Linked DNA regions of Ovis aries. The protein of the gene in region 1 interacts with the protein of each later gene in a pairwise test. Links are inferred from orthologs where the notes say so. Each region holds a gene or a part of one and is shown on either strand. Other genes may lie near its edges.

Region 1 (5,548 bases):
CCTCGTGACCCAACCTGAGGTGTATGAGGCAAAAATAAACCAAGGGAGCCCCTGATGCATCATCCTCAGATCCCAGGGTCTCTAGCTGGTTGGCCGCCTTCCTGCCACCTTTCTGTCTTCTTATAACTGTTTTACATATAATGCTCAGAGTTTTAGTTGTACTCAGCAGGAAAAGTAGGTGGAAAGTCAGTCTACTCCATGTTCCCAGATGCAGGAGTCCTTTGGTTATTATTTTCATGTTCAAATGATTTCCTCTGGATCACAGAATGGACTTCCATCTTCTTATTTTATCATGAAACATTTTTAGCTTTTAGGTAAGATCTCACATGTTATATTATGCAATGCTTATCTATGAATCCTTTAAAAATGGAATTTAAAAAGATTATCTCTTAATATCCTTGGCTTCTGAGAGGCAAATTAATTTACATGATTAAGAAAAGTGCTGTTCTCTCAAGACTGTGGAAAATTCCTGCCCTGATCAAATTTAAACAATTATTTTCATTATTAACTGCAGATACAGAATTTTTGTAATAGTGCTGCCAAAACATTAATGAAATATACTTCATTTAAATGTTCAGTCAAATGACAATAGTAATTTTCTACTTATAAATAAATACCTATTGTGACTTGTTAAAAATAAGAAAATGAACACAAAGGCTTCAGAGTTAAAACTAGAAATTCAGAATTACTTTCCGGTAGTGGCAGTCTTGTCATTTGACTTCATAGGACAGCTCCTTCATAAAATATAGATAGTTCTGGTTTTAAGGTTCTCAAAATCAACAAGAAAATCCTGTTTATAATCAATAAGGATATGTTTCATATGTCTTAAAACCACCACAACACACTAGCCCCTCCAGTTTCAAATCCAACACCTCTAAGAAAAGAAATGTATCACTGAAACAGGCAGCTTTCTATTTTAAGTTAAACAAGAAGACAGAATGGATTTCTCTCTGGGTTTGCTGTGTAAAGTAAAACATTTTCATATGTCTTCAAGTTGCAATTAATTGGTAACACAGGTAAAGCATTAGTTGGAGCCTGTAACAAACATATTAAGGACAATCACAGAGCACCTCATTAAGTGGAGATGAGCAGGATATCTTACCTAAGAATCCTTCAGTAAAAATACCAATGCTGCTGAACTACTATAGTCAACTTCTGGGTTCAACAGGTAATTAGACGAGTATTATTCTTAATAAATATGTATTCACTGTTTACTATGTGGAAGGCACAGGGCTAGCTGTGGCCTAGGACCCCTATCCTTAAAGGACGTGCTTCTCCAATCATTGCAGAATCCCTTTCTGCAGCTGCTTTTAAAATTCTTACCCAGAAGGCAGAAACTGCAGCATTACACTGTGCAAACTACATATTTTCTTAGGTCTCATTTCTCCTTTTAGAGAGGATTAACTGCCTACTTCTGCATGTGCAGTAAATAAATACCATATCCCACATACACAAAGCACAGGAAAATATGGTGTGTTCAGAAAACTTCCACAGTTCAGGTTGACAACAGAAATAATTGAGATACCACAAATCTTATTTATTAAATATGGCCATGTTGTGTATAATGTTACATAGCAATAATACTTCCTCTATTTAAGCAGAAGTGGATGCAAACAGCTACAAATGTTTAGTGTCTTGAAACACTTCCAAATTTCATTACTGTTCTTTTTTTTCCCTCTTCAGCCACATTAAAAAAGATTTTAGGGAAAGTATATACAAAGATCCGTTAAATCATTCTGACTTCAAGAGAAGCATCAGAATATAATTTAAGAATCTAATATAACATGAATGTTACAAGGTATTTCAAAGGAAAGAAATTTTCTACTTTCAACAACTATCTGTGTCTAAAAAGCTTATGGGGTATAACCAACAAATGATTAACAAATGATTGCTATCATGCAGAATGATATGCATTTTTAAAAGGCCTTTTATTTACCTCTTCTACATTAGAAGCAGTCTTAGCAGAAGTTTCCATGAAGATAAGTCCGTGTTCTCGTGCAAAAGCTTCACCTTCTTCCTTTTTAACTTCTCTTCTAGATTCTAAATCACTGAACATGGGAAAGAAAGGGCTCAGTTATCAACCAACACAGTACAATTAGATTCAAAGTTGTGCTGACCATTCTTCCAATTAATTTTTCACACATAATCATCAACTGCATTATCCTGCGTATTACGAGAGTCGAAGTGCACACAGCTGAGCTTCAAAGAACTAACAATCCAAGCAAAGAAAGATTCTAAGTTAGAGTCCTAGATGCTAAACCCAGAGAAACTCAAAGTGAACATCAAGCCTCAAATCCCACCTTTGAGTACAGCAGGTTCCGAAAGAAGGAACTATCTTACTCAACATAGTTCACTAGGCTCCTCATCCTGCAGCCAGACTCAGAGTCTGAACATGATTAAAAATAAGTCACACAATCCTCAGAGACTACAGGAAGTTGACTGATAAAATTCAAAGTACTACTGAAACATTATTATTCATCCTAGTTGGTTTAATTCCCAATAAAACTGTTAATGAAAGAAGAGAGAGAGAAAAATAGAAGTCTAATTTAGAAAGTTTGGACAGAAGTACAGTATTCATTTTTATCATACTGGAATTATATTAGTTAAGGTAGGGGTAAAAAGTAGCTGTCTCTTCTTCAAGTATGTTTTATTGTTAAAAAAAAATTAAACTCAGTCTGCATAACTGGATGAAGATAATCTATCCAACAGGATCTGGGGACAGACCACTCATCAAATCAGACATTAAACACCTCGCCCCCACCCACCCCGGCCACCTCATGGAGCTTATATTCTAGCAGGAATAAAAAATAACGGTTGGGGTATACCCTCAACAATGATATGGCAGTGTGCTACTGTCAGCTCCCTTTTCTGACAATCATTCTTAAGACTTTTGTTATCTGAAATTAGCCTTAAGTTACACAAAATCTTCAAGAAAATACTTTCCCTTAACTGCCCTTCATCCCATTTTATGTGTATCAGTTCAGTTCAGTTGCTCAGTCGTGTCCGACTCTTTGCAATCCCACGAACCGCAGCATGCCAGGCCTCCTTGTCCATCACCAACTCCCGGAGTCCACCCACACCCATGTCCATTAAGTCGGTGATGCCATCCAACCATCTCAGCCTCTGTCGTCCCCTTCTCCTACCCTCGATCTTTCCCAGCATCAGGGTCTTTTCCAATGAGTCAGCTCTTAGCATCAGGTGGCCAAAGTACTGGAGTTTCACCTTCAACATCAGTCCTTCCAATGAACACCCAGGACTGATCTCCTTTAGGATGGACTGGTTGGATCTCCTTGTAGTCCAAGGGACTTTCAAGAGTCTTTTCCAACACCACAGTTCAAAAGCATCAATTCTTTAGCACTCAGCTTTCTTTATAGTCCAACTCTGACATCCATACATGACCATTGGAAAAACCATAGCCTTGACTAGATGGACCTTTGTTGACAAAGTAATGTCTCTGTTTTTTAATATGCTGTCTAGGTTGATCATACCTTTTCTTCCAAGGAGTAAGCGTCTTTTAATTTCATGGCTGAAGTCACTATCTGCAGTGATTTTGGAGCCCAGAAAAATAGTCAGCCACTGTTTCCCCATCTATTTTCCATGAAGTGATGGGACCAGATGCCATGATCTTACGTTTCTGAATGTTTGTGTATGCCATGTTTTATTTAAATAATCCCTTATTTGGGGATATTTCAAGTTACTCACAAGTTTTCCCTACCAGTATCTCTGATGATGTCTACATTTGCAAATGTTATATTAGCAGAGGGTTAAGGATGTGTACATATAAGGGGTTGTTTGAACAAAACAAAGTGGCACTTCAGTGTTCAGTTCTTCTGTTTTAGCATGCATTTCTTCAGTTTTCCAGGCATAAAATCATATTATTGTCTTTGAGCTTTCACCCCATTAATCCCACTCAAATCACTTTTACTACTTAAATATCTTTCTTTCCTAAAACATTTTCTTAACTTATGCTTTCTTGTTTAGGGTATTCTAATCCTTTAACTATTAAAAACTTTCATCTTTGTAGACTCTGCTTTCTAATTTCCTGTATAATCAATTCCCAATGCCACAGTTAAGAAATATCTATGTCATCTGTCATTCTGACTAGGTCACTACCTTTCTCAAATGGTTCCACTGGCTCCCTACAGCTTAATTCACCTAACTCAAAAACGGCTTAGTCTCTGTCTCCAGGTTTACCCCAATTCCCCTTATCTGATGATAATCCCATTTATCTCTGTCCATTGCCATTCACTCTTTGAATGTCATACATTTCCTTTTTTTCTTAGTTTCTTCCCTAAAATGTCTTTCCATAGCTAGTGTATCCTAAAGAACTACCCTTCTACAATCATTAGAAACATGTTTGGTATACACTATATTTTGCTCTTTCTTTTCACAACTGAACTTATAGGCAGCAACCAAATTTAAGCCACCTAAGTGGCTTCCCCAGTGGCTCAGTGGTAAAAAGCTGGCCTGCCAATGCAGGGTTCGCTCCCTGGGTTGGGAAGATCCCCTGGAGAAGGAAAGAGCAACCCACTCCAGTATTCTTGCCTGGCAAATCCCATGGACAGAGGAGCCTGGTGGGCTATAGTCCATGGGGTCGCAAAAGAGTCAGACATGACTTAGTGACTGAACAACAAGCTGCCCCAGTCTCGTTTTTTTTTTTTTTTTTTCCCAGTCTCGTTTTAGACACAAGGAAAACACTGGTAAGATAAAAGTGTGAAAATTTTCTTTATTCCTCAAATATTCTCCTCTTATTATTTCACACATATGGTAGTATGAATACTTCCATATTACTGAATACAAAGACCAAAGCTTCCCTCCAATAGCCTTAATCTTAAAAGAATTTTGATATCTGAGGGGAATGACAGAATCAATCCCCCATGGATATGGAGGGACAATTGTATGTTCTCCTAACAGCAAACCTCAATTAAAATAACACTAAAAAAATTTAATCTACTCAGTATAATATTTACTTGTTATATTACTTTTTTAAAAACAGCTTTATAGCAATATAACATTAAAAAAATACATTTAATAGAAAACTTGATGAGTTTGATATGTGTATACCCTGTGAAGCCACCATTCCCCACTGTAATTCACCTGTTCCTTCCCCTGTGCCCTAGGCAACTAATGATCCGCTTTCTGCTATTAAAGAACAGTCTGCATTTGCTAGGGTTTTACATAAATGGAACAACAAAACATGTCTCCTTTATCCTCTTTTTTCTCGGGTAAATACTTAGGAGTGAAATGGCTAAGTGGTATAGCAAATGTGTGTTTATTTTCTAAAGAAACTCCTAAATTGTTTTGCAAAATCATTGCATGATTTTATATCCCCACCAGCAGATGAGAGTTTCAATTTCCTCTAAATCCTTGCCAATACTTGTTAAGTTGATCATTCTCTATGTAAGTAATGTTTGACAAAATCAGAATCCCTAAAATTTAATATGCTTTCTTCTAGAGTTTTTTTTTAAAATATCTTTAGCTCTTACATTGAGGTCTATAATCAATTTCCAGTTAATTTTTGTATATGGTGTGAGGTAAGGATCAAGGT
Region 2 (6,183 bases), on another chromosome or scaffold:
TACATAGTATACTTTTTCCACTTGATATTATGTCTTGAACATACTCTTATGTGAATAAACATTTTAATGTGATCAAATATTTTAGTCTGGCATTTCACATGATGTATTTTACATAGAAGTTAAATAAGCAGGGTGACAATATACAGCCTTGATGTACTCCTTTACCAATTTTGAACCAGTCTCTTCCGTGTCTGATTCTGGCTGTTGCTTCTTGACCTGTTTCTCAGGAGATGGGTAAGGTGGTCTAGTATTCCCACTGCTTTAAGAATTTTCCACAGTTTATTGTGACCCACATAGTCAATGGTTATAGCATAGTCAGTGAAGTAGAAGTAGATGTTTTTCTGACATTCTCTTGCTTTCTCTATGATCCAACATATATTGGCAATTTGATTCCTCTGCCTTTTCTTTGCATAATATTTAATTTTAAAAATATACTAGAGTGATTTTTAAAAAATCATCCTCTATTGAGATTATTTTCACTCTTTTCCTGACTCTACCCAGTCATTTAGATTGTTGATAGTAGTTTACTGTTAGTAATTATGTTCTGATGAACACATTTATGCATAAATCCTCTATCTTTGATTTTATTTCCTTGGAAAAATTGAATCACTGAACAGAGGTAAGTATCTTTTTAAGACGTTTATAGTTCAGTTCAGACACTCAGTCACGTCCAACTCTTTGTGACCCCATGGACTGCAGTATGCCAGGCTTACCAGTCCATCACCAACTACCAGACCTTACTCAAACTCATGTCTATCGAGTCAGTGATACCATCCAACCATCTCATACTCTGTCATCCCCTTTTCCTCCCACCTTCAATCGTTCCCAGCATCAGGGCCTTTTCCAATGAATCAGCTCTTCACATCGGGTGACCAAAGTATTGGAGCTTCAGCATCAGTCTTGAATATTCAGGACTGATTTCTTTTAGGATTGACTGGTTGGATCTCCTTGCAGTCCAAGGGACTCTGCAGAGTCTTCTCCAATACCATAGTTCAAAGCATCAATTCTTTGGCTCTCAGCTTTCTTTATGATCCAACTCTCACATTTATACATGACTACTGGAAAAACCATAATTTGACTATACAAACCTCTGTTGATATATATATTGACTTTTATATATATTGCCAAATTGCATTACAGAAAGGTAAATTATAGTTTATTAAGGGAAAAGTTACATAATTTCATTAGTTTTTTTTAACTCAATGACATTTTAATGAAGATACTATGTAATATAGGCTTGGATTGTTTTAATTTCTTCCTTCCTCCACAACACTTTCCAGCAGCATTTCAACTTCTCCTATCTCTTGAGATAAACCATTTTATTAAAATTATCTTTTACTATTCAAAACATTATTTTAAGATTTTTCCTTATTTTTAAAATTAATTTTTATTGGGTTTTCATTTGATTTTGAAACTAGCAATAGATGTGACCTCTAGGATTGACTAGTTTGATCTCCTTGCAGTCCAAGGGACTCTCAAGAGTCTTCTCCAGCACCATAATTCAAAAGCATCAATTCTTTGGCACTCAGCCTTCTTTATGGTACAACTCTCACATTCATACATGGCCACTGGAAAAACCATAGCTTTGACAATATGGACTTTTGTCAGCAAAATGATGTCTGCTTTTTAATACACTGTCTAGGTTTGTTGTCAGAGCTTTTCTTCCAAGGAGCAAGTGTCATTTAATTTCATGGCTGCAGTCACTGTCCTCAGTGATTTTGGAGCCCAAGAAAATAAAATCTGTCACTGCTTCCACTTTTTCCTCTTCTATTTGCCTTGGAATAATCTTAGTTTTCTGAATGTTGAATATCAAGCCAGCTTTTTCATTCTTTTCTTTCACCCTCATCAAGAAGCTCTTTAGTTCCTCTTCACTTTCTGCCATTACAGAGGTGTCATCTGCATTATCTGAAGTTGATATTTCTCCCAGGAATCTTGATTCTAGCTTGTGAGTCATCCAGCCTGGCATTTTGCATGATGTTCTCTGCATAGAAGTTAAATAAGCAGGGTGACAATATACAACCTTGACATAATCCTTTCCCAGTTTGGAATCAGTCCTTCATTCCTTGCCCAATTCTGACGGTTGTTTCTTGACCTGCACACATGTTTCTCAGAGACAGGTAAGATGGTCTGGTATTCCTATCTCTAAGAATTTTCCACAGTTTGTTGTAATCCACACAGTCTAAGGCTTTAGTCTAGTCAATGAAGTGGAAATTTTTCTTGAATTCTCGTGCCTTTTCTGTGATCCAACAGATGTTGCAAATTGATCCCTGGTTCCTCTGCCGTTTTCTAAATCCAGCTTGTACATCTGGAAGTCCTTGATTCATATACTGCTGAAGCCTAGCTTGAAGGATTTTGACCATTACTTTGCTAGCATGTGAAATGAGTGCAATTATCTGGTAGTTTGAACAGTCTTTGGCATTGTCCTTGTTTGGGATTGAAATGAAAACTCACTTTTTCCAGTCCTGTGACCACTACTAAGTTTTCCAAATTTGCTGACATATTGAGTGCAGCGCTTTAACTGTTTATCATGTTTTAGGATTTTAAATGGCTCAGCTGGAATTCTGTCTATTCCACTAGCTTTGTTTGTGGTAATGCTTCCTAAAGCCTGCTTGACCTCACACTCCTGGATATGAAGGTGGCTCTAGGTAAGTGACCACACCATCATGGTTATCCTGGGTCATTAAGACCTTTTTTTGTATAGTTCTTCTTCATTGTATTCTTGTCACCTTTTCTTAACCTCTTCTGCTTCTATTAGGTCCTTGCAATTTCTGTCCTTTATTGTGCCCATCTTTGCATGAAATGTTTCCTTTTTATCTCCAATATTTTTGAAGACGTCCCTAGTCTTTCCCATTCTATTGTTTTCCTCTATTACTTTGCATTGTTCAGTTAAGGCTTTCTTATCTCTTCTTGCGATTCTCTGGAACTCTGCATTCAGTTGAGTATATCTTTACATTTCTCCTTTGCCTTTTGCTTCTCTTGACTTTTCTCAACTATTTGTAAGTCCTCCTCAGACAACCACTTTGCCTTATTGCATTTCTTTCTCTTTAGGATGGTTTTGGTCACTGCTTCCTGTGTTACAATGTTATAAAACTCTGTCCATTATTCTTCAGGCATTCTGTCTACCAGATCTAATACCTTGAATCTATTTGTCACCTCCTCTATATTCATAAGGGGTTTAATTTAGGTCATGCTTGAATGGTCTAGAGGTTTTCCCTGCTTTCTTCAATTTAAGCCTGAATTTTCCAATCAGGAGCTCATGATCTGAGCCATAGTCAGCTCCAGGTCTTGTTTTTGCTAACTGTATAGAGCATCTCCATTTGGCTGCAAAGAATATAATCAATGTGATTTTGGTGCTGACCATCTGGTGGTGTCCATGTGTAGAGTCTTTTCTTGTGTTTTTGGAAGAGAGTGTTTGCTAAGACCAGCGTGTTCTCTTGACAAAACTCTGTTAGCCTTTGCCCTGCTTCATATCAACAATTAATTGTATCAATAAGAAATGCATGTGTTATTAATATATTTTTGAGTGAAGAAGGATAGGTTTGGGAATCTTGAGACAGGTGAATGCCAGATAAGAGAATTTCAAAATTTCAAAATAGATGTTTAGAAACCCCTGTAGGATTTTGAGAGAGATAAAACTGTCTCTGGAGGCAGACATATCTTAACTCAAAGTAGTAACTTGGTGACTTTAAGCACTTAAGTTTACTGACTTAAATTTCAGCTGTGTTTCACTCACCTTTCAAGGGCTTAGGGGTACTGGAAATTTTTCTGGTTCTCTGTCTCATACTACTACCACTGGGATATTTGTGGGAGGCTATTTCAAGTCCTCTCTACTCAAATCGCTCTCTGAACCACTTTAAACTCACTACATGGGTGCTCAGTTTTGGACATTGCCTTCCTCCTCCTCCTCCTCCTTTCCTCCCTCCCTCCCCCCACTTCCTTCCTTCTTTCCTTTCTTCCTTCCATAGCTTCTATTTATTAACAGCAAGCTCCAATACTTTGGTCACCTGATGTGAAGAATCGACTTATTGGAAAAGACCCTGGTGCTGGGAAGATTGAAGGCAGGAGGAAGGGGATGACAGAGGATGAGAGGGTTGGATGGCATCACCAACTCAATGGACATGAGTCTGAGCAAGCTCCAGTAGTTGTTGATGGACAGAGAGGCCTGGCGTGGTGCTGTCCATGGGGTCGCAAAGAGTCAGACACGACTGAGTGACTGAGCTGAACTGATGATTTTGTAAAGCAGCCTCGAACCCAGGTCATTCTGATTCTCAAGAGCAGTGTGTTCTGAGGACAGCTTCCTGTAGCTCTCTCTTGAATTCCACTGGTGTGTACACCGTGATGATGATGTGGTACTGGCCTTCTGCAGGCATGTGATCTGGCCTTTCCCTCTCAAAAGGGAACAGACTGGGGTCACGTTTGATGGCATCCACATGAAGTTCCCTGGGATGCAAGTTGTAGCTCCTGCGGTGCTTCCTGCTGGGCCTCAAGCATGGGCCCGATGACCTCCCTCTCTGTCTCGTGCTCTCCCTGCTTATACAGGGACCACTTCTTCAGAAGCTGAGCTCTCATCTCGTTTCTTCAAAGAGCAGTTCCCTCTGAGACTGCTATTTCACTTTATCCAAGAGCTCACAGGGATAATAAAATCCTCAAAGGGAATTAGCTCCTGGCTAGGCTTTCTTCTTTTTCAAATGGTCTTTTACTGCTTGGTCTTTTTAAAGATTTAACTACTTCTTTCACAGAGGTTCTGCTCTCATGGGAACAAGTTCTGAGACGATCAACCATGAAGCTTTCTGATAAGTGTCTCTAGTCTATGTCTGCCAAATTCCCAAAGCATCCATGGCCTTTAGGTTGCTTCCAGGCATGCATTCATTTGCATTCAGGGCCCACACAGAGATTCTGACGTAGCAGTTCTTTAAGTTCTCGTTTGTACTAGGGAAAATGAGGAATACATTTCACTGACCTGAGATTTCCCTAATCTTATCTGATAGACAGTGATAAGATAAGGCAGGGAAATGGAAGGCACTGTAATTTAGGGAGGATGAAACATCCCTTAGTTTAATATTTCCAAAATATTGTCTCTGTTACATTATTATTAGATGTCGCATTTAAGAAGGTTTATCATGGCTCTGAACTCGAGGTGAGCTGAGCATGAAGAGCGCCTGGAAGCGGGTCATACACTACCTGCAGGTAGTAAGCAGGGCATGCTTACCTCCTGGCAGCCGTTTAATTAGAGTGTGATAGGCTTCCCCGTAGGAAAGTTCTAGAAAATCCAATATGGCTTTTAATTTCTCTGGGGAAAAAAAAACCCTCAAAATATAATTTTTACTGAGAGTTGGCTTCAAGTATTAACTTTATATATATTAAAGATTAAATTTTTTTCTCTTAACACAAATTTCTGGCAGCGCTCTATTAATCATCATAAACTTTCTCCCAGAGTTCAGAAATCTTTTTAGAAAGAAGGGAGCAAATAGATATTTTTCCTCTGTAGAATGTAAATGAATTTTTGGTATAAATCATGTGGATTTATATCGAATAACTAGGCAGTTTATTAATTCTAGGAGTGTTTAGCTCAAAGCATATTATGTGCACTGTAATTTATCTCAAAGACTCGATAGTAGCCTTCTGTTTTTTCTTCCGTTTTCCAGAGCTTAAACTTCAGATACTTGTTCTTTTATATTAAATTTACATTGTTTCATTATATTTATCCTTCATATTTCAAGATTTTCTTCACAATAAAATTGTTAGGCAATATATTATAATATCTGATCCAGTGTACCTTGTACACCTGTGTTACAGACCACTATTCTTGGCCCCCTTAATCAATAGAAGTTGATCAGAGCTAAGACAAGAAATTCAGGCAAGGCTTTACTGGGGGTCCCTTTCAACAACAGTGGGGAGCAAGAACAAACAACAGTTTCCCTTGCTGGTGTGTTCCTGAGCTGGGGCATGAGTTGGTTCCAGGCGTCAGGCTGGAGGGGTGGCTTAGGTGGTTTGCCCACCCCTTATGTGCAGGGGGCATGTGCAGTGCCCTATTTTTGCTGCAGGCTATTTTGAAGTGACAAGTGGTATTCGGCTTCTTTGTGCCATTTGTCCAGAATTTGTCCTAACTGCTCATGCATGCAGTTAATTTTAGTCCCATGTAGTTCATATTTTGTTGCTCAGGGAAGGTTGTGTCCAAGTGCA
Region 3 (5,976 bases), on another chromosome or scaffold:
AAATCAATGAAAGTGAGTACAGGATGAATGAATGAATAAATACAATTACATGACTATAATCAGCACTATTATATTTATAATATTATTATAACTGAAATATATAATACTATAGCTCTATTATTATACTACATTCTATAATTATCATTAGATTATATGCTATGATAAATATGATAATTATTGTCATTGGAGCTAATACTTTTTGAGCATTCACTATGCAGCCATGCACCTTTTCAGGCACTTTTACATGAATTTCCCTGTTTAATCTTCATGATGGCCCTAAGATACCATTATCTCTACTTTACAGATAAAGAAATTGAGGGCCAGTGGCCAAGCTAGGATTTGGACCTAGGATTCCTTGCTCCTTAGCCCACTGTGAAAGAGTGTTGTGAGGAGTAGAGTCATCCTATGGGGAAATGGGGGTATCACAGGGCAGTGCCCCCAGAGCACCGGGTACTCACTGTCCTCAGTAGGCCGGATATCTACACGCAGATGCAGGTAAGGTTTGGAGGCAGTGGCGAAGGCCGTGCTGAGGTCCCAGTCAGACAAGAGTGAGAGGTAAGCTTCCTGCCCCATCCGATCTCGGCCCAGGTAGCTGATACCAAAGTTCTTCTTCCTGGACAGAGGAAACACCGCAGCTTTCAGGGCCCCTGTGCCTGGGAAGCCTCAGGGACCATTTCCAAAAGAAGCCTGGGAAGCTTGTTTCACAAACACAGAAACAGATTCACATCTGCTTGTATGTGGAGAATACACTGAAAACTGGTACTGGGGTCTCCTCTAGGGAGGGTAACTGAGTAGTTGAGGGATGGAAGTGGGAAGCAAGCAGCCTTGCGCATAAAAAATAAAGCAAGCTGTATGGTTGTTATTTTTCACAACAGAAAATGTTTATGTAAAAAAGTCAAATAACAACTAAGAACTTGTTCTTTAGATACACCAGAGCAACTCTATGCAAAGCATGTTGTGTGATAACTACTGTCACCATGAACATGTTTAGTCACTCAGTTGTGTTCAACTCTTTGTGACCCCATGGACTGTAGCCTGCCAGGCTCCTCTGTCCATAGAATTTTCCAGGCAAGAATACTGGAGTGGGTTGCCACTCCAGGGGAGTCTTCCTTCTCCAGGGGAATCTTTCCAACCCAGGAATCAAACCTTCATCTCCTGTGTCCCCTGCATTGCAGGTGGATTCTTTACCTGTTGAGCCATCGCCAGAACTGACTGTCACCATGGAAACCCCCCCAAATACCCACCATTTTTGTACCCTTTGAGTCTGTTACCATGTGCATATATTCCTCCAAAATAACAATGATACCAAAATAACCATCACATTTGCCCCCACGAGACACTATTTTTCATCTATCAGGTTGGCAAATTTTCTAATGTTTTTTAGTAACCAGTGTTTGTGAGGGTGTGAGGAAAACAGAAACTTTATGGGCTGCTGCTGAGATGGTAAATTGGTAACACCTACCTGAACATTTTGGAAACATCTGTTGAAACTTAATTTGTTTATTATGGGACTATTTATATTAATGACAAAACAAACATCCTTCCCTACCAAACAACAGCAATAAAAATGCCAAACAACTGCTGTCAAGGTGGGTGGCCCACTGGTTTTGCCCCACACCCCATTACTCACCCATTCAAGTCAAAGGCTCGGATGAGGATGTGTTGTAACACATCAAGTGAAGTGATCTGGGGGTCCACAGCAAAAGAGCGAAACTCAAGCGGCAAGAAGCTCTCACATTTCTGTGGAGAGAAGACATGGGGTAGGCCATCAGGGGTCACATCACCACAATTACATGGATGATATGGCAGAAAGTAAGGGTAGAGATGTGGCAGGGGCCAGATCAAGGCGGGAGTTCTGGGCCATGGAGAGAACTGGGGTTTGTGCTCTGAGTGAGGGGGGAGGCTTGGGAGAGTTCTGAGTAGAGGAGGGATGTGGTCTGATTCAGGATTTAACAGGACCCTTCTGGCTGCTCTATGAACAGTCCATGGGGGACAAAGGAGAAAGCAGTGGTCCAGTGAGGAGGAGGCTACTGCAATAGTCCAGGCACCCAATCCTTCTACATCCCCTCAAGGATGGTTGCCAAGATCACCATGTTCAATCTTTTGTTGTTCAGTCAGTTGTGTCTGACTCTTTGTGATCCCATGGACTGCAGCACGCCAGGCTAACTCACGTCCATTGAGTTCGTGATGCCATCCAACCACCTCATCCTTAGACGCCCCCTTCTTCTCCTGCCCTCAATCTCCCCCAGCATCAAGGTCTTTTCCAATGAGCCTTGAGAACCCCATGAACAGTATGAAAAGGCAAAAAGACATGTCCAGCTTGGCCCTTATTAAACCAGTCCTCCACGCTGCAACCAATCTAGCATGTCTGTCTACAAAACTCTCTTGCTTAAATCTCTTTGAAAGGAACCCCAGGATTCCCAACAGGAGCTTTTTTGAATTTTACACTCTGGTACTACCAAACTCCCAGAAGTTACTCTGAACACATTTTGGCTCCAGGCCTGTGCTTGTGGAGATCCCCCAGTCCTAGGATGGAGGAAGGTGGAGTGGAAGGTCCTTCCCACTCTTTAACTGGCTCACTCACAGCTTAAGCATCTTTTCTTTGAACACCCAAACCTCTACCTTTGAGCTTGCTCTATTGCACTGAAGTGATGTTTACTTCTCTCGAGAATCTAACCTCTTCTCACCACCAGTGCCACCGCCCTAGTCTGAGCCACTATCACTGCTTGCTGGAACTACTGCCACAGCTTTCTTACTCTAGAATACATGCCAAAGGCCCTTCACAATCTGCCCCTCTCTTACCTCTCCTATCCACCTCCTACCACTCTTCCTCTCACTCTCTGGGCTCCAGCAATATGGAAACCTAAAGGAACATGTCAAACTCATCCCCACCTCCCAGCTTTTCTCTCGGTCTAAAACACTCTCCTTGCTGTTCTCTCGGTCTAAAACACTCTTCCCCCCTGATATGCACATTGGTGACTCCTTTTTATTTGGGTCTCTGTTCCTTCAATACCTTTCTGGGTATTTCCCTGGACGACCTTGGCTAAAGTAACTCCCTAGTTCGGAATCTTTTTTGTTATCTCCCCATGACATTCACCAGTGTCTGAAGCATTTCCTTTATTTAGCCGTTTGTCTCCCCGACGAGTGTGTCTGCTCATCCAGGGTGGGGATTTGCACAAAAGTGCACTCTCAACACAATGGTAAACTGATGTCAGCGCCTCCTTTTCAGACAGCAACAACCTCCCTCATTTCTCAGGGCTCCACTCCATTAAGGCCCCTCCTCCAACCCTATAGCCCCTCCTCTCTACCCACAATCTCCTCCTATCCATTCCAGAGGGCCCTACCCTTCTATTTGCAATCCCCACGCCCCACCCTCTGCCCCCGCATTCCCAGGTCCAGCCTTCCCCCAGCCCCCACCCAAGCCACCAATATTCTGCTCTCTAGCCTCTCCCCTCACGTAACACCCCAATTCTCAAGTCCCGCCCTCCATCCTAGGACAGCCACCACCTTCCCCTCTCCCGGGAGCTCTGGGCGGGCTGAACGACGAGCCACCAGCCTCACCTTGACTCGGACCCGCACCACCTCTCGCTCCTCCTCCTCAGCTGCCGCCGCCTGGGCCCCCCCACCAGGCGAGGGCGCTCCGGAGCCAGCCAAGTCCGATGACCCAGAGGCCGTCGCCATCCTGCTGCCACCCACCTCAGGGTGACAGCTGACCGTTGCCCCCTACCCTTGTGCGCACGCCAGAATGCGGGCGCCCGCGGCCCCACCTTGTGCCCTGGCGCAGGCGCAGAGGGCGCCACGCGACCCTACCCACCCCGCGCTTGGCACAGGGAGGAGGTCACCTCTGCGCTTGCGCAGAGTGTGCTGTTGCCAAGAGCCCCGCCCCCTAGAGCCGGGCATTTTGCCTCACTTTAGCCAGTGTGCAGGCGCCTACTGAGGCCCCGCCTCCCTCGTCCTTGATTTGGTCACTTTGCTTCGGGATTCGCCTAGGTGGATGTTAACGCGGCGACCTATTGGGGCGAGAAAAGTGGGCGGGGAAAGGACGCTGCTGCGCGATAACGTCAAGGCCTCACGTCCTGCCTCCCGTTGCTTCGAGTCTCTGCTTAGAGATGACGTCATTTATTTAAAATCATTTCAAATGAATCTGCTGAATGAAATAATCCTTTTCCCACAATCTTTTAAAAAATAGCTTACATGTTATGAAAATTCACGGACCTGTACATTTAGATTTTTGCAGTTTCTGCCTGCATGTTATACTTCAATAATTTACCGATAAAATCCATTTGTATGCTCTGTGGACAAGTTTGCCTCTGTTTTTATTGAATCTTTACAACACGTTGAAGTCAGTCCTGTTATTAAACGGTGTGTGCCCACCAAATATCAGCTGAATACTGGACATATTTTAGACTCCTTTGAGAAAGTTTATGTGCCACGAAATGCAAAAAGCCATTCTCACTTTACAACGTCTCTATGGTTTGGACAAAATACATGCTGCCCTTAAAAATGTAATTTCTAACCAAGGAGTCCTGTAAGGTACCTGGACTTCAGCTATTGCAGTATTGTACGGATGTTACCCTTAATGTTACCTTTTTAGAGAAGTCTCCTTTTCTAAAACACTTCTTGTGGCACTGCCAGGTTTTCTGATAGAAACAAGGAGTTTGAAAGTCGCTTTTCCTTAAAATTATCATAGAGTGGAATGAGCAAAACATTAGCCTAGAACTTGGAATTTATCCTGAGGGCCCTGGAGCACAAGCTTATGATGTGTTCAGATGCCCCTGTCTTGGTTGTGGAGAAACCTCTGGAAGGCAATATACTGGAAGCAAGGAGAGCAAAAAGGAGGTCCTTGCCATAGTGCAGGGGAGAATTTTCTCTTTCATTTGTTCATTCTTCCATTCAACACAGTGTATACCAGATAGTTTAAATATATTAATTCATCTAATCTGCATAAAAATCCTGAGGTAGGTACTATCATTATCAGCATTTTACATATGAAAGCACTGAATGAAGGTCATGGGAAAACATGCTCGAGGTCAAAGGGATAGTAAATGGCACAGAGAGAAGGGAGTGCAATGGGTAGAAGGTGGGGCTGTGCCTGCTGTACTTGAGGGAGAGCAAGGGCACCATCATGCCTTAAGTAAACAATGAGGTAAGTGATGGATCTGAGGTGAGAACTTAATGCATGGCTTTGGGTTAACAGTGAGGCATTTCTCAAAAAGTGACACTGTAGGCTCAAGCAGTAAACTGAAGTCCTGCTCTGCACAGGTCACCTGGAGCCCATCTACAGGTATCTGCAGTTTAATTATTCATGGTCATCTCCACAAAATTCCTCAAGTACCCATTTGTTTTATGACTGAAGGTCTAGGAGGTTAAAGACAGAGACTGCTGGATGAGCAATAGGGGTCTGTAGGGTGATGGGTATTTGTGGGTACATGATAAGTGGTCTGTGGGGGTGAGTAAAGGAATGTCTGTGGGACGAGTGATAGGATATGGTGTAAGTGATGGAAGATCTGTGGGGTAATTGGGGATCTATAGGGTGAGTGATGGGGAATGTAAGGTAAATGGGTTCTTCAAAGTGATTATGGGGAATTTACAGGGTGAGTGATTGAGGGATCTATGGTGAGTGATGAGACTTATGGGGTAAATGATAGGGCATTTGGTAGGAGTGATAAGGTCTGTGTAATACATGATGGGGGATCTGAGTGAGTCATAGAGTTCTAAGTGATGGACGGTCTCTTGGGGCAAGTGATGGGGTCTGTAGTGTGAGTGATGGAGGTCTGTGAGGGGAATGATTCTGTCAATGGAGCAAATGAAAGGCTGTTTGTGGGGACAGTGATGGGTATCTTAGGAGTTAATGATGGAGTATGTGGGGTGAGTGATGGGAGGGTAGTGGAGTGACTTTTGTGGGGGTCTCTGGTGTGAGTGATGGGAATCTTTAAGGTAGTGATGGGGTTCTTTGGAGTGAGTAATAGGGGATAT
Region 4 (6,002 bases), on another chromosome or scaffold:
CCAGAGCGGTCCTCACCCAAGGACTAAAAGACAGAGCCAGAACTTCATCAACTGACAAGAACAAGCTGTATATTTGAGCCTGGTTGCTAACCTACATGGGAGTGTGTGGCAGAACTCCTGAGACTGGATTCTGGTTCTATCAGTTGCACAGAGGAGCCTACCACTCTCACCCATCTCTGACGGCCAAACTGCCTTAGGTCAGGTCACCTCAACTGTGGGAAAATGACCACAACAAAACCTCTCTTCCCTGTGGCTACTCTGTATCCAATTATCAACATGAAGACATTTCTTCAGAAATACACGTGACATTCAGCTGTAAGGAGTTGAACCAATACTGTCAGGACACATTTATGGACAATTTATTTCAGGAAGACTATATTTTTACATCTTTCCAAATCATCAAAATGGTCGGCCCTACTTTAACTTCTAATCGTATGTGAACTTTTCTACCTGTTACAAGTCCATATTTTCCCTGAATCTAAACCAAAAAAACAAAGCTTCCTCCAAATCTTTTTTATTCTGGTAGACCGTGGTCTACTCTGGATGTTATGACAGGAGAGAGGTAGTCATTTTTAAAACAGTGCCCTTCCACCTGAAGTCATTATAAACTGTGTGTTCTAAGACACAGCTGTTCCTATGTAGGGACTGTTGGTGGCTGGGATGCATGCTGTGTGTCCTGGGTTGGCCCCCATCTCTGCCTGGGTGCCCCAGAAGCAGTCGGATTTAAACTTGCCCTGATTTATGGTTTGGACTGTTGACCATTACAGCCGTGTCCTGTGGCTTTGATGCTAGGGAGCCTCAACCCACAGAAACAAGGAAGTTTCTTCAGTAAACTCCAAGAAGAGGAAGAGTGGCATATAAAGAAGCCTTTGTGGGCTGGGAATATAAGTTAGTTTTTCATGAGTCAATTCATGCATCACCTAAAATGCTCCCAGAGCTATGCTAGGTATTGGAGCAACAATTTCATGGCTCCAAAAATAAGTTTAAAATGGAAGACATCCTTCAGAAAATGAATAATCTGTTTCCATCTGATTCCTGGTCAGTGAAGGTCCAGGAAGCTACTGCATCTAACACAGAATGGTTAAATGATGATTTAAAACAGCACATCACAGCAAGTAAAGAAGTGCCTGAACTAGACTGATCTCATACAAGGGAGAACCTTGAAAGAGGCTTTGACAGTCATTAAGGCCTGATGGGAAAGGAGTGTATGCAAGTGCTAGGAATGAATCTAGACATGCAGAATGGATGCTGTGCGGCTGGGCCAAGAGCCACACGGAGGAATATCAAGGGATGGGAGGGATGGATGCTGAGGTGGAAAGAATTGTGCTCTGATCTCTCTATCCCTCTGCAGGTGTACAGCCCACTCATTCTCATTGGGCTTCCTTACTTCCTCCTCTGGAGAGTAAGGGTGGTGGACATACCGATCTGCATACTTTGTTCCCGCGCACCAGACTGCAGGACTGGGACCAGCCCGTGATGACAGAGAAAAATAAGGACAAGATAGAGAGTGTTTCATCAGTCTAAATTTATTCAATGTAAAGGACTGCCTTCATCTTGCAAGTTTAACCTTCATGCTTTTCTTGGTATTAAAACATCTTTCATTTTATGAAATAGTATTGGAGTGCATGGATTTGTTAAATGGTCTCACTTGGCAAAATAAGGAGTTGGTAATACAATACCCTGTGTGAGATCACTGCCTCCAAATTTAAAAAGTGTCAGTCAGTGAAAGACCAGGAACAAAAACTGGATGACAGGATCTTAACCAGGTTGCAAGAGTTCCAGCGGTACTTGACAAGTATGTGTACCCAGAGCCCAGACTCTTTTTCCTCCAGTCTGGCTTCCACACGTCTGCCAGGTAACTTTATGAAACACAAATAAGGACCTGTTTAAAAAACAGGAGGTTTAAACACCTTTGCATGGCATCTGGGGCCCCTCACAGTCCAGCTCCACTTTCTCTATCAGCCTCCTGGAACTCTCAACTCAACAGACAGCACATTTTCCATCACTGCCCAGGCAGCTCATAAACATCTCCATCTTTGCTTATGCTGGGTTTTCTGACCAGGATGCCCTGCCTCCAACTGCCTGGCAAAGTCCTGTTTTGTTTTTTTTTTTTTCTCTCGGTGTCTAGAATCACTTTCATCAACTCAATGGACGTAAGTTTGACCAAACTCCAGGAGACAGTAAAGCACAGGGAAGCCTGGTGCGCTGTAGTTCATGGGATGGCAGAGTCTGATATGACTCAGTGGCTGAACAACAATGTTACTTTCTACTTTGAAATTTTCCCAAATTTGCCCCACTCCTTCCAATGTTTTAGAAGATACATTGCATAGACTTCTATGGCATTTTTAAGGAGTATTTATTTCTGTATCATTTTTTTGGTATCATTTTTTAAAAGGAGACATTTGTCTCTCCTCCAGAACTGTGACCAACAAGCACCTAGCTTGTTTTCCGACGATCTAATATTTACTGAACTGAAATATATTGTTTGATATTGATTAAAGAGAAACAATGTGTGATGTAAGCCTGGTCTAATGATGTCTGAATCCGTGAGAATCAGCAAGGCTCCTTCCCACCCTCAAATTCCTTCTGCACTGGCTCCAAGGAGGCTCAGATCCCACCCTCAAAGTTCCCTTCTTTTGCTTAGAACTTATGCCCTAAGAAGTTTATCAGATTTTTTCCTGAGCTCAGGAAAGGAAGGAAAGGCAGGGAATGGACACAGGTGAGGTGGGGAAGGGGCAACGGGAGGAAAAGAGGGCAGAGAAGGCTCTGAGGAGAAAGCCTGCCTACTTAGTTTTCTCAGGGTGGACGAGGTCTTCTGGAGTTCGGGACATTGACTTTAAAAGCCACCCACTTGACTCTCTCAAGATGTTTAGGATGAGAACTGATGGCATCGAAGGACAGAGAGATCACCCTGACAGTTCATGCAGAGTTCTTTCTACTCCAGGAAGGGCAGTGAAATTCAGGTGCCTGATCTGAGATGGTTAGAAATACCTGGTTCCAGGGAGGAAGAGGAGCGACTGGGCCGGCGGGTGGGGGGGTTGGGGCGGGGAGTGGGGCTCAACCTGGAGGCTGTGAATAGAGGTGGGCTGGCTCAGGGTGCTAGCTGGGGTGGAAGCGCCGGCAGTGCCGGCGTCTGCAGCGGGAGAGATGACGGATGATGAGCTTAGGTGGGAGGGCAAGGCCGGAGCTCGGCTTTTCCAGGCCAAGGGCTGGCGAACCCCGGGATGAGACTTGCTTCGCCTGTGCCCGCCGCTGCGGACACCCCGCAGCTTGCCTCTCACTGGGACCTGGGACCTGGGGGAAACTTTTTCAGACTTGCTTTGTGCTGGGACCGAATACTTCGGGAGCACAAGGCAGGCTCCGCAGAGGTTCACGCCGGCCGAGGGGGCAGAGCAGGAGTGCGGGCGTGTGGGTGTGTGCATGAGCGTGGACCCGGAGCGACACACACTCACACACACACACTCACACGCCCGCACCCACGCGGGGCCCTCGGCCGCGCCGCCCGCGCCTGCCCGGACCTTCACCTCCAGGGCCGCTCCCTCCGATCCTGCGCCCGGTGCCCAGCCCCTGCCGACTCGGGGAACCGAACGGGATAGACAGAGACGGCAGGGTCTCCCCGTCACCCCGCCGCAGCTGTTCCCGCATCCCCCCGCCCCCGCGCCCGCCCGGGGAAGGGGGTGAAGGCGAGAGGTGCCCGGGGCTCTTACCGCTCAGGCGGCCGAGTGCGCGCGGGAGCGCCGCCGGGTCCCGCCCCGCCACGTCGGCAGGGCCGGCGGGGACGCGGCCGGAGGGCGGGCTGGGAGCGGGACGGGGCGGGCTGGCCGCGCGGCCCCGCCCCGCGGCCCCGCCAGGGCCCCGCCCCCGCGGCCCCGCCAGGGTCCCGGCCCGGAGCGCGGCGGAGGTCCGGGCACCCCCTCACCCAGGCTGCGGGGCTCGAGGATGGGGGTCGCGGCCGCATTTCCGACCAAGCATCGGAAACTTGGTTTTTCCGAACTTCGTGCCGCCTGGTGAGCTGGAGGGGCGCCCACCCCCGCCCGGGGCGGATCTAGGGGCTCTCCCGTTCCCTTTCCTTCCTTTAAAAGCGGCCAGGAAACTGCGCAGTTAAACCAGGAAGGGGTTGCTCAAGTTCAGCAAGAGTTTTCGATCCCACTCCTCCGCCCCCGCCCCCACCCCCCCGCATGGTGCTTTAAATAGCTTTCCCTTACCCTGTTTGTGAGAGTGTCATCTGATTTAAAACCAGCCAACCGAATAAAAACACTTTCTAGAAGGCCAGTTTGGAAACGTGGATCAAAATTCAAATGTGTTAGCACTGGCCCAGGAATTCCACATCTGCGAATGTGTACCAAGTAAGCAGTCAACTGTGCACACGTGTATGTCCGAGGATGTTGACTGTGATTGTTTGTGCCACAGAAAACAACCCGGAAGTAAACTGTCCTCCCAACAAAAGATTGGTGAAGTAATTTTTAGTAACTTCAAACGACCAGGTATGCTGTAGTCGTTAGAAATTATAACTGTATGTCCAGTTTGTTGATATGGAAGGAGGGCGGACCATAGCCGAATATTAAGTGAGGGCAGGGAAAACTTAGAAGAGCGCATGTACAGTATAAATCTATTCTTGTGAATATATAGTATATGTATTTTTATATAAAAAGGAGATTTTAATGTTGAAAGCAGTTATTTTTTTCTGAGTTCTTCAGTGGTGTTAGCAAATTGTATTCCAGGTGTGTTTTGGTGTACCACAGACACCGTGCCTGTGACTTATGTTTGCCTTGGGTCAAAGAACCCACCTGCTGATGCCGGAGACATTAGAGATACCGGTTGGATCCTTGGGTCCGGAAAATGCCCTGAACGAGGGCATGGCAACCCGACCCTCTCCAGTATTCTTGCCTGGAAGGTTTCATGGACAGAGGAGCCTGGCAGGCTATAGTCCACAGGGTCGCAGAGTCGGACACAACTGAAGCGACTTAGCACAGGGCACAGCAAGTTCCTTTGCCAAACCTGCCCCTCTCTACCCTGCTGAAAGGCAATAGCGCAATCAGGCATTCCACCCCACCCCCCCACCCCCCCGCCCACACACACCCGTTTTTTTTAATTTTAATTTTAATTTTATATTGGAGTATAGTCCGTTAACAATGTCGTGTTAGATTCAGGTGTGTAGCAAAGTGATTCAGTTATACACATTCCTGTATCAATTCTTTTTCAAATTCTTTCCCATTCAGGTTATTACAGAATATTGAGCACAGTTCCCTGTTCCTCTTGGTTATCTATTGTATATAGATCAATCCCAAACTCCTAATCTATCCCCCTCCTCCCCCCTACAACAATAAGTTTGTTCTCAAAGTCTGTGAATCTGTTTCTGTTTTGGAAAAAAAGTTCATTTGTACAATTTTTAAAAGATTTTACATATAAGCACCACTATATTTGTCTTTCTCTGTCTGACTTCACTTAATATGATGATGTCTAGGTCCATCTATGTAGCTGTAAATAACATTATTTCGTTCTTTTTAATGGCTGAGTAATATTCCATTACCCACATTTTCTTTATCTAGTCATCTGTAGACATTTAGGTTGCTTCCATGTCTTGGCTATTGTAAACAAGGTTGCAGTGAACATTGGGGTGCATGTAGCCTTTCAAACCATGTTTTTCTGCAGATATATGTCCAGGAGTGGGATTGTTGGATCTATGATAGTTCTATTTTTAGTTTTTTAAGGAACGTCCCTGTAGTTCTCCATAGTGACTGTGCCAATTTACATTCCTACCAACAGTGTAGGAGGGTTCCCTTTTCTCCACACCTCCTCCAGCATTTATTCTCTGTAGATTTTTGATGATGGCTATAATGACTGATGTGACATGACATCTAGTTATAGCTTTGATTTGCATTTCTCTGATAATTAGCAATGTTGAATGTCTTTTCATGTATCTCTTGGTCAGCTATATGTCTTCTTTGGAAAAATGTCTGTTTACGTCTTCTTATTTATTTATTTTAATTGAACCTCATTCA

What was found. The genes of interacting proteins can lie anywhere in the genome.
Region 2: the proteins of RAB2A (region 1) and GARIN6 interact in binary tests that used the Homo sapiens proteins (3 or more experiments, as listed by UniProt). The two-hybrid records come from large-scale screens. The link is inferred for Ovis aries from reciprocal best matches to the Homo sapiens genes RAB2A and GARIN6.
Region 3: the proteins of RAB2A (region 1) and TBC1D25 interact in binary tests that used the Homo sapiens proteins (3 or more experiments, as listed by UniProt). The link is inferred for Ovis aries from reciprocal best matches to the Homo sapiens genes RAB2A and TBC1D25.
Region 4: the proteins of RAB2A (region 1) and FAM114A1 interact in binary tests that used the Homo sapiens proteins (3 or more experiments, as listed by UniProt). The two-hybrid records come from large-scale screens. The link is inferred for Ovis aries from reciprocal best matches to the Homo sapiens genes RAB2A and FAM114A1.

The regions. Positions count from the first base shown.
Region 1 is NC_056062.1:39,201,441-39,206,988, reverse strand, and holds part of RAB2A (ras-related protein Rab-2A), read right to left. Parts: intron 2,049-5,548; coding exon 1,937-2,048; intron 1-1,936.
Region 2 is NC_056056.1:169,269,881-169,276,063, reverse strand, and holds the start of GARIN6 (Golgi-associated RAB2 interactor protein 6), read right to left. Parts: upstream 3,783-6,183; coding exon 3,734-3,782; intron 1-3,733.
Region 3 is NC_056080.1:56,503,430-56,509,405, forward strand, and holds the start of TBC1D25 (TBC1 domain family member 25), read right to left. Parts: upstream 3,783-5,976; 5' UTR 3,682-3,782; coding exon 3,562-3,681; intron 1,741-3,561; coding exon 1,631-1,740; intron 614-1,630; coding exon 459-613; intron 1-458. UniProt on the Homo sapiens protein: Acts as a GTPase-activating protein specific for RAB33B. Involved in the regulation of autophagosome maturation, the process in which autophagosomes fuse with endosomes and lysosomes.
Region 4 is NC_056059.1:58,805,645-58,811,646, reverse strand, and holds the start of FAM114A1 (protein NOXP20), read right to left. Parts: upstream 3,783-6,002; 5' UTR 3,708-3,782; intron 1-3,707. UniProt on the Homo sapiens protein: May play a role in neuronal cell development.